Danio rerio: one gene and its partners. The protein of the gene in region 2 purifies or fractionates together with the protein of the main gene of each other region. This does not show direct contact. Links are inferred from orthologs where the notes say so. Each region holds a gene or a part of one and is shown on either strand. Other genes may lie near its edges. The genes, in order: cdk19, med19a and polr2k.

Region 1 (3,757 bases), on a different chromosome or scaffold from region 2:
TATACTTCTGCATCAAGCGCACGCGTATGCTACAGCACAGCCTACGCGCTGACGCATAGCCCAACGCCGTGGCCATCGCTGACACGCACCTCTCAAAAAATGGAACTACACATCGCAACGACATGTAGCGCAAGCTCTGGGATTGGTTAGCTTGGAATCGCTGACAAGTGTGGGCGGGACCGAGAGCTGTGCGAGGCCGATGAAGCGATTGTTTACAAGTGTGGAGTCCCGTGATGGAGCTCCGGATGAAAGGTTTTGCTTTGTGTTTACCTTCCCTAGTAGCAAAGAATTCTGGCCCAGATTTGGCATAAAGCTGGCACAGCAGGCATTCATCCGGCACTGGCATACAGCATGTGGGCCAAACATGGCCCGGGTTTGGCAGAGGCGGCACACAAGATTTGGGCCAGATGAAAAACGTAGTATTTGGCCCAGATTTAAAAATTTGATAAGTGGGCCATGTGAGTTTGGCCAGTTTTGACCCACATTTAAAATACACTAAAATCATTTTTTAGTAAAGAAAATAAATTCTACCAATCAGGTCACTTTGAGAAAAAGCGTGCCCATAGTGTGCCTAAAGCGCATCACTCCATGGGTTTATCAATTTCATTGCAATCGTGACACACCAACCTATCTGGCCCAGTTCAGGCCCAGTTATGAGTTATTAACTTGGCTGAGACTTGGCCCAGATATGGTCCGTGTTTGGCCCTTGTCTGGAAGCCAGATTTGGTCCAGTCATGTACCGTAATTCACTGCGGCATGTGGGCCAAGCAAAACCTGATTGTGTGGGCCACAGCTGGGCCAGAGAAACTTTGCTATGTGGGTTATGATTAAAGTTGTTGCATGTCCGCCGGTTCCTGCCTCAAAATAAGCGAGTTTGAGCGTTCAGAAAAAACAAAACGCCAGCGAATAAACTCAACACAGAGGAACATTAACACCTCATTGCCGACAAGCTTTTCGGAAGTGTTATTGCAGAACATCAGAAATAGCGCGCAGAAGTATGAATGCACGGCTACGCGCGTTGCATGCGCCGTGGGTCACGCCGATCACTTGACGCAGAAGTATAAACCAGGCTGTACTCTCGTACTTATCAGGGGTTGCAGCAGCGGAATGAACCACCACAGAAAATAATATCACACAGATATTTAAAAAATTGGAGATGCGGTGGCGCAGTAGGTTGTGCTACTTACTGCATCGCCACCACATTTTCATCTTTTCACAAAGAAACTTTAGTCCTGTTTCGAATCTGCTGCTATGCTTTAAATTTAAAGTGACAGTAACCAAAACAGCATGATTTGGATCAAAGCCTAAAAGGGTCCATTTCAGAGAGATATAAAACATTATCTGTGTGGTATTTTGAGCTGAAACTTCACACACACACTCTAGAGACATAAGAGACTTATTTTACATCTTGTGTAAAGTGTCATAAGAGGACCCCTTTATTGAGCACACATTGACTCCTGTATAAATAAGAGCACACACACACACACACACACTGCAAGCACGTGAACTCGATCACAGATGCTCCATAAACTCCAGCACGCAAGAGCTTGTGCACTTATGAAGAAGTGGGCAGCTGTTATACTGCGTAAATGAGTATGTCAACTCGTGCACAGGTGAGCCTCTGAATTCCAGCACATGTAAACATGACATCTTCTCATCCGAGCACACAAACTCACAGTGGACTTCAAACGCATGCAACTTCTGGACAGAGGAACTGATTTGCAGTGAACTCCTGCACACAAGAGTGAAACATGCATCACGCTGGCTGGTTTGGGGGTGGACCGTTTGAAGTGCGTCCATGAAAACAAAAACAATCACACACACACACACGCAGGCTACAGAAAACAGCGCAATTCCCCCGACACATATGAAGCTCCTGCACACCCAGAGACAGCAGAAGCGCGTGCAGTGAGTGAAACGCGTCAATCAAACGCGTGTCTCTTACCCGTCTTTACGCTTCGCTTTATAAACATGCCCGTATGTGCCGCGACCCACTTTACAACCTTCATATTCAAACAGATCTTCCACTCTCTCCCTCTCGGCGGCGAGCTTCGTTTTGAAGTCGTAGTCCATTTTAACCCATAAATATTTCTTAATTTACAAGAAAATAAAATATTAATTATTACATGCATTAATTAAATGATCCGATCGTTTTTATTACCCCACCATTTCCTTGTTTGGGATTTTGGTCGGCTCCGCTTAACGGTCACGTGCTCGGTGACGTATTTTATTGTGGCGGGTTGCATTGTGGGGAGCGTAGTGCCGTTTGATGGAGCGCCAGCTCGAGTTGACGGCGGCAGGACATCTGAAAAACTACAGCGAACAAATCCTCCTTTCGTCTTTCCACTCTGATTCAAAACTAACATTTCTGAACGTTAGCGCTTGGAGTGTTTGCACAATGGCAGAAAAAAAGCTTATAATAACTAAACATAATTAATAAAATGTGTGGAATACATAACCTAACAGTTTTTTTCTTTTTCAAAGAGAGTGCTAGATAAATGGGAGTCAATTATTTGTGCAGTGGCTCAGCGTTATTCACCTTATTCTCAGCTGACGAGCGGGCGCTGCCATTTGAATCTTTTTGTCTCGCGACTTCCGGTCACATTCACTTCCATTCATTTTTTGACGTTAACAACTGCACGTTACGCTGCTTGATGTTGCAATTTAATATTTTCTTATTATATTATGCTACTTGGTCTGTGTAGTCATGCAAACATTTGTTTGTTGAGCAAGTAGTTTGGCCATTTTCTGTCGTTTATTATTCCTAGTCATTTCTCCCATAGGCGACTGAATCGGAAGTTCTAAGACAATCGCGAAAACAGGCGCACTTCCGCATTTTAGAATAAGGTCAATAGCAACGCAAATGTTTGCTCATCTATACAAGGACACACACTCACACACGCGCTACTACAGCGTGAACTCATACTTTTACGCAACATCCCGCTTGACTGATATCCGTTCAACCAATCGCTGTAGACCTGAGGGTGGCTCCCTCGCCGCGATTGGCAACGACGAGAATGACGTCGTCGGGTAGGTAATAAAAGCTCCGCGCAGACTGCCGTTCTGCGCTTACACAGTATGGCCGGCGATATTAGCTAGCACTCGCCTACGGTATTCTCTGTAAAAGGGAAGACGGTAAATACAAACAAAAAAATAAGGCAACTACATCTGGACTGCTCAAGGACTGTAACTAAGCTATTAAGTTATAACCGCCAACGAAGGACTACATAATTTGTGATTCCATCCGACGGTTTATTTTCTGTTGTTGGAGTCTGTTTGTCTCACGATGGAAGAGAGCAGTGCACACTTCTTCGAGGGGACCGAGAAGCTCCTGGAGGTGTGGTTCTCCCGGCAGGACGAAGCCAAAGGAACCGGGGATCTGCGCACAATCCCTAGGTGAGTGAGTCCGTCCGAGCCGCGGGTGCCTCGGGCGGAGCGGGGCTGGATTTCACCGAGCCAGACGCTCCGTTTGGGGCTTAAATCGTGTGTGAAACGCTGTGATAATGTCAGGAGGTCTGGCGGAGTGACATGTGGCGCAGGCTCTGACACCCGTGGCGTGATCAGCACTTCTGGCCGTTTTTGACACCATCCCCCTTTAGACTCATTCATTTCAGCTGTCAGGACTGCAGCTCAACTCCAGCCCCAGCGAGCTGCCCATATTGGCAGTATTAGCTCGTTCACTGCGTGCTGTTAATCACTGCAGTGCACGCGCGTTGTAAATCATCAGCTCGTTATGATAAACAATCGTCACGCTGAT
Region 2 (3,757 bases):
TGTGGCTTGAAGCATTTTGAGCCAGAGAAAGAGGCCAGTGGCACTTGTAAATCTCAGTTTATATGTGTTTTCCATCAGATTTTTATTTTCACTCTCCGTCTTTTAATCCTGAAGTCTTCTGAAATGGCAATAATTATTTTTTAACATTAATAGATATACATAATTCATATCAAATTCACATTGTTTAGATTACTAGAATGGACACTTTATTTTTCTCCCAGTTAAACAGCCACTTAATGAGTGAGTTTTAGCTACTTGTAGCGTTCAGAAAAAACGAAATACCCATGAAGATACTCGACACAGAGGAACATAACCTACTGCCAGCAAGTGTACGGAAGTGTTATTGCAGAGCAACACAAACAGCATGTATACAGTAGTATAAATGCACGACTACCCGCAAGGCAGGCACCGTGGATCACTGCGATCACGCAGAAGTATAAATCAGCCATTTTAAAAGGGATTTTTGCACAATTGGTCCCCTTTTAAACAAGATGTAGACAGCATATTTTCTAAAGCAATCTAAATGTGTTCTTTGAGCTTCATCTTTATAGTGTTGGTTTGTGTTGCAGCTTCCTGAGCAGTACAGACTGATGCACATACAGCCACCAAAGAAGAAGAGCAAACACAAACACAGACATCATCACCCTCAGGATCCTCTACCGCTAGGTCACTTCAAAAGCTCATGGATTTTCACATTTTATTTCCTCTGTGCACCACATGCATGTTAACTTCCTTTCCCTGTGCAGAAACCCGCACTGACCCCACCAAGAAGAAGAAAAAGAAAGATAATGAACCTGAACGCAGGAAGAAAAAGAAAGACAAGAAGAAAAAAAAGGTGAGCCACTTTGTTGATGCGGCGCAGAATCTTACAAATTTACAATAATTAAAAAGTGTATTGTTGAACAAGGTTGAATGCTACAGGATGTTCCTGTATAAATAATAATGCGTTATTAAAATTTTAAAAATGTATACACATAGGAAGCAGCTTTGCTTTGGTGTAACATCTGAGCAGCCTTGAACAATGCTCTTTATAATTATTTATCATTTTTGCTTCACACAAATATTATTTCAACAGTAAACTGTGTTTATTTTACATTTAAAAGGATGTGTAAGCTTAATGAATGCGCCCTCTTTTACATGAATATTTTACACTAATATAGTTGTGCATATATACTTTAGATTAGTCAGTACTAAAGCTAAGACTGGAACTGATCTAACAAAAAGACTTAACATCACGGTCTAAAAATGAGACCAGCCAAATTAATTAAAGGTGCAGTAGGTGATTGTCTACAGAAACATTTTTTGATGTGCAGGTTGAAAGTCTCTTCACATTCCTATAGTAATGATTAAATTAAATGATCTAAATGTATTTACATGTATTTTTGTATTCTGGGTAAGTCATAAGACTAAAAAATGTTAATTCCCATAATTCTGATAAGTAGCCCAAACTGTCTGTCAACAAATGTAGACTTGTACATCTGCGCTGCTATTCGTGCAAATCTGCCGTTTGTGTGTGCACGTGCGTTCACGTGCACATGAGAGAGAGCGCGACCAGTAAAAACAAATGCTGAAACAAAACTTTATAATCCTGAATCAATATTGAAGTTAGTTTTTATGCTGGAGGAAGAACGAGACCATGGCTGAAGTATTTCTTTTAGACAGGTCATGTTCTGTTTTAAAACTATTAAGTCACACAAAGCTGATGTAGATTCTGTTGTTTCACGGATGTGTTATATGCACGAAAGTGTAATTCCTGCACCCGCCAGCCAACCACTAAGCATACAGTAGTGGCTTTAGGACAAAACGTGGGAGAGAGTGAGACCAACGATCCTTGTATGGATGAAATATTGCACATTATGACAAGTTTTGCTTGCTACACGACTGAAAACATGCTGGATATAATACAGTATTTTGTACTTTACAGTAATAAAGTATTGTAAAGTTTTTCAACTGGCGAATGACAAGAGTTAGTGGGCTGTCTACTGTCATCTTTGCAGTGCGTGTTTGTGATTTCAGGAGGCGTGGCTTTGAAAAATAGGGGTGGGACTGTTTTCTAAGATATTATGCTAACCGGTTAGCATTTTGGCAGATCACCTACTGCACCTTTAATGAGAAACTTTTTGTACAAATTTTCTGTCTCTCTATTCCTGAATGCGTTAGGCGATTTAATTTAATTTGAATAAATATAACAGTTTGATACAACACCAAAATATATTGACGATTCACAGAGAAATTGATTAAAAAAAATAGGAATTTTCCAAAAGGGTTGCAACTCATTTATGCTTTAAACCGTATGCATGTGTGTGTGATTTAATTTTTTTTCTTAAATTTATTTGAATAAAATCATTGTTTTTATCTTTTACTAAAACTAAATAAATTTTCAAACTTACTTTAGACATCTTGCTTCTCAATAAATGTGTCTTGATTTAAGTAACTGATAAGTTATTCACAATAGGAAACAAGACAGTATTTTGCAGTATAACATTTTATAAATAATATTAAAATATAACACATTAGGGCTGCACAACATATTGTTTCAGCATCAATATCACAATGTGATCATTCGCTATAGTCACATCGCACATTTGCATGTGTTTTTGATGCCGCTGATTGTATAAATGATTTTAAAAACATTCAGCTATATGAAATTGTACCATTTGTGACTTTAACAACAATTAATTTTTAATTATTTTTTATTTTTATCATTCAAGTTTTACTTGAATACTGTTAGACTCACACTTTATTTGTATTAAAACACTTTATTTGTATCTTTTTCTTGATTGTATTTATAGATTGTTGTGCATGAAAATACTCGCAACACATGCAAATACAGAAATGCACTGCAAATAGCACAGACCACAATGAAAATGTGCCAGAGGACCCCAAAAATGTTAAAAATAGTAATTATAAGAATCTAATTTTATAAATTATTTCCAAATAGAGACAGTCATCTGGTGAAATTTTATTCATATTGTAAAATATATTGCAGAGATATATTTTTTCCAATATTGCGCATCCCTATAACACAATATTAAATGCTCAATGTTAGTGGCATTCAAAATCAAATCGATGGTCTGCACAGTGTAGAATATGTCCCTAGAATCTACTTGATACCTTAATTATGTTGTAGAATAATTACTTGTTTATTGCTGGGACCTGTCACATTTAAAGTACACCCCATTTAGTCTTGTTAATGCATTTAAAAGGTCTTGGTCTGTTCCCTCTTTTCTTTTAGAATCGACACAGTCCTGATCATCCTGGTGTTACTGGATCTCAACCCAACAGCAACAGCCTGAGATAGAACAGTTGTGTGTGTGCGAGTGTGCTTGTTTGTATGTATGTTTGCACACATGAAGTGATGTTGAACTGTGTTAGAGAATCTGATATGGACCAGTGCGGTTGATTGATGTTTACAAGGGCCAATTGTTGATGATTTTTGACTTCTTTTTCTGGTTATGATGAAAAGCTCAAGGAATAAACTTTGTTATTCTTTATACAGTCTTTAAACACACTCTTTCTTTTTTGTTCACAATAACAGATCATAAAGTGTGCCAAGAAAATATCCCCCACACCATTACACCATCACTAGCCTGAAGTTGTTGATGCCACATTCTGACCATACCATTCGAATGTCACAGCAGAAATCGAGGTTCATCAGACCAGGCATAGTTTTTTCCAGTCTTCTATTTTCCATTTTGGTGAGCCTGTGCCAATTGTAGCCTCAGTTTCCTTTTCTTAGCTGACAGGAGTGGCACCC
Region 3 (3,757 bases), on a different chromosome or scaffold from region 2:
GCAGATGCATAAAGACTCTGTGTTTTTGTAATAAAAGCGAGTCAATTAGCAAAGGGGAACTCAACTTAGTTTAATTTTATTTTGAACAACAATATAAAACGTCCAAATTTATAAGTTGGGAGACCTAAAAATGTGAGAATGTACAAAAGCGCTGCTAATAGGAAGTCTTATTTGTTGTTTATTATCTATTGTATAACTGTAATGTTACTGACGGAACCATTTTGATTACAATACAATCATTCTAGACATTCAACATAAAAACAAAACATGAATATCTTTCTGAGATGTCTTTTGGGGATAGTTTCTGAATATTGCTGCCCTCAATAGTTACAATGCATACACCTGTTGATAACTATGGAATATTAAATAATTTAAATATGTTATTACATTTCATAAACCGTTTTAATTACTTGTGCTTACACTTGATTTAGTTATTAATGGCCAACATGTGTCCTGTGGATTTGAATTACCTTCAAATGCAAAGTATATCTATCTTTTGCTCTAAAAATGAACATTAGTTTTAAAAAATCATAATAATATTTAAGGAATTAGCAGTATTTCAGTATTATTGAAACAGTAACAAAACATTTCAGTATATCAAAAAGATAAACAGCTATCAATAATTAGTAACTCTATTAATATGAATAAATGACAATTGGCTGGATCAGCTTGTTCTGACATATACCTTCGTTATAAACACATTATAAATGGGAATGTTGATATGTATTAAACACATTGCCGAGAAACAGAAACTGAAAGGGTGAGGCGGGATTACGACTGCCAGTAAAAAAAAAACACATTACAAACATAAATACTAACAGTGTACAGACTATCTGGTTATACCTATAAAACATATAATAGTATATAATACTGACAGTAAAGTTTTGCAAACTTACCCGAGAGCTGAACGTTTAACGTTACTGGCAGTTTTTGCAGCTGCGACTCACTAACGTTACTTCCTGCTCTGAGACCGTCAACAACACCGACAAATCAAGTGACAATGTACGAAACACATTTCACTCATACAAAAAATCAAATAATAATTATTCATTAATAATAACACATTTCTGTTAGTAAATAAATGTGTTTAGACTGTTTCACAATTTCAGGACAGGTTTAATAACAGCGTTACACATGAATTAATATAAACCATTAGCGTTAAACAAAAAAGTACACAAATAATACGTCTTCATGGTTACGTACGTCTGTCACTAAATGAATGTTTAAAAACGTCGCCGCGAAGTTTTTCTCCGCCATCTGAAATTGCTGGCAGTAATAAAATAAAAGTCCCAGATGAACCTGTAAGTCTCTGCGTAAAATGGTAATGTCCTCCCTCCTGGCGGCGTATGACGAGATTGGTTCAATTCTTGCCAACCAATAGCATTGTTCGTTACTGTGATGTGATGTCGCTTGTGCGCATGCGTGAACGAAAAACGTTTCGAAGCAAACAGAGAGCTCACGCGTGAAAGGTAGCTAATGCTTTGAATGTTTACATTTCGTACTCGTTTGTACACTGATAAATGACAGGATGAATGATATGTGCGGGGTTTTATTGCAATTTTAATATGATGAATTACGTGTCTTGTTGGGTTTATAATGGAAGAACGTGTTTGTGCATAGTGCAGCATCTCTTAAATGTGCTCTTACGATAGGTTTAGGTCAAATAATGTGTAATATTCTAATGAATTTATTCAATTTAGACTATATAATCATGTTTGTGTGTTTGCTTTAAGCCATGGATTCTCAGAAAGACATTCAGCCCCCCAAACAACAGCCAATGATCTACATTTGTGGAGGTGATTGCTCTTTTGATTGTATTTATGTTTATAATCTATATGTATATTGATCTATTAGAAGGTTTATGTATTGATTATATTTTTGTAATCAGTCATTTCTTTCTTAATGCTAAACAATCAAGATGTTCACAATCTAGTCTGTTTTTGAGCTTGAAATTTTGTGTGTGTGTGTGTGTGTGTGTGTGTGTTTGTTTCAGAGTGTCACACAGAAAACGAGATCAAGGCCAGAGACCCCATCAGATGCAGAGAGTGTGGTTACAGGATCATGTACAAAAAGAGGACCAAAAGATGTATCCTTTATCAACTAAACCAATGCTTTGTGGTAGGCCTGGTTGATACGACAAAAAAAGTTGATTAAATTAATTTCACGCTATAATCCTCTCATTTGCTAATAATGAGATATGTCATGATATAGTAACTAGGGATACAACAATACAGTTAGCCTTAGTAAGAGGTTAAGGAGAAAAAACTTATTGCAATACTTCTTTATTTTACTTGATAGCCAAGAAAAGTACACTAGTTTGTAGTTTAATGTATAATAAAAGTAAATTAACTGAAATCTCACAGCTGCTGGTAGCTTATGTACAAACTGGGGAACACGTATATTCCTACATTTTGAAAATACACATACATGTGAAAAATAATTTCAAATAAACATATTTGATGTAATTTTAAGCTCTGGATGTTTATTAGTTTTACATTTTCTAAATGCATATTGTGTCACTGTTTTGGAGCACACTAGCTAATAGGATTGGGCGATGTTGACCAATTTGCCATCATATGATGTATAATGTGAAACAAAGTAATGGACGATAACATCGTTATTGTAGGCGTCAGTGAATTAATTATTAATTCATAACGGATTAATTATTTGTAGCCCATGTTTCAACTACCTGACCCACAAGGTCTTTGTTTTACCCATAACCAAATCAAAAATAAATAAAGTTGCACACAAATTACCACCTTTCAATCACTTTTTCCATTGGACTCTGGCATGAATAGGCCAATAGAGTGATCTGTGTCTTTACAATGACATTGACAAACTTGGTTGGGAAAAAAAGGTGCACAACCAACCAACTGTATCTGAGGTTTTCACTAAAATTACTAAGTATAAGCATGAAAGCGAAACACCGAAGCAGTGTACTGATGCTGTGACACATTACCTGATAGATTCAAAAGACCAAAATGTCTGAAGCTCTGATACGAATGTATACTGCAGGCATAACAGTGTGCATTTTCATCGATATCGAGTGGAAGGAAGGCTTTTCAGAAATGCTAGATGAAACGCCTGTGTGGACGTAGGTCGCTTTTGTTCTAAAATGCCATTTTAAAACTAAGATGTATTAAGGCTGATTTATACTTCTGGGTCAAACACCGGCGTATGCTACGGCGCTGACGCATAGCCCTTCGCCGTGGCCATCGCCGTCACTGACGTGCACCTCTCAAAAAATGTAACTACACATCGCAACAACGCGTAGCGCAAGCTCTGTGATTGGTCGGCTTGGTAGCGCTGACGAGTCTGGGCGGGACCGAGAGCTGCGCGAATGGCGCGACGCCGCGCGAGCGATTGTTTACAAGTGTGGAGTCCCGTGATGGAGCTCCGGATGGAAAGTTTTGTTTTGTGTTTACCTTATAGTTAAAGTTGTTGCACGTCCGCCGGTTCCTGCCTTAAAATGAGCGAGTTTGAGCCACTTGTACATCCCAGAAGTGTTCAGGAAATGCAAAAAAGTAGCGAAGAAACTCAACACAGAGGAACATTTACACCTCACTGCCAACTAGCGTTTCGGAAGTGTTAATGCAAACCGACAGAGACAGCGCGCAGAAGTATAAATGCACAGCCACGCGCGTTGCCTGCGCCGTGGGTTACGCCGGTCACCTGACGCAGAAGTATGAATCAGGCTTTAGTGTAAACGGGGCCTAAGTGTGTATTTTTCACAAACGGATTGCTGCTACGGTGGGGT

Evidence for each region.
Region 1: the proteins of med19a (region 2) and cdk19 purify together in Homo sapiens (affinity purification with mass spectrometry; 7 studies listed by BioGRID and IntAct, counting the BioPlex papers as one, with this or other methods). This does not show direct contact. The link is inferred for Danio rerio from reciprocal best matches to the Homo sapiens genes MED19 and CDK19.
Region 3: the proteins of med19a (region 2) and polr2k purify together in Homo sapiens (affinity purification with mass spectrometry; 3 studies listed by BioGRID and IntAct, with this or other methods). This does not show direct contact. The link is inferred for Danio rerio from reciprocal best matches to the Homo sapiens genes MED19 and POLR2K.

What each region holds. Positions count from the first base shown.
Region 1 is NC_133195.1:3,040,290-3,044,046, forward strand, and holds the start of cdk19 (cyclin-dependent kinase 19), read right to left. Parts: upstream 2,202-3,757; 5' UTR 2,074-2,201; coding exon 1,946-2,073; intron 1-1,945. Other genes in the region: amd1 (S-adenosylmethionine decarboxylase proenzyme), read left to right, coding at 3,287-3,396.
Region 2 is NC_133189.1:26,391,164-26,394,920, reverse strand, and holds the end of med19a (mediator of RNA polymerase II transcription subunit 19-A), read left to right. Parts: intron 1-569; coding exon 570-666; intron 667-746; coding exon 747-835; intron 836-3,235; coding exon 3,236-3,301; 3' UTR 3,302-3,494; downstream 3,495-3,757. UniProt on the Homo sapiens protein: Component of the Mediator complex, a coactivator involved in the regulated transcription of nearly all RNA polymerase II-dependent genes.
Region 3 is NC_133194.1:13,080,980-13,084,736, forward strand, and holds the start of polr2k (DNA-directed RNA polymerases I, II, and III subunit RPABC4), read left to right. Parts: upstream 1-1,389; 5' UTR 1,390-1,469; intron 1,470-1,733; 5' UTR 1,734-1,735; coding exon 1,736-1,796; intron 1,797-1,993; coding exon 1,994-2,086; intron 2,087-3,757. UniProt on the Homo sapiens protein: DNA-dependent RNA polymerase catalyzes the transcription of DNA into RNA using the four ribonucleoside triphosphates as substrates.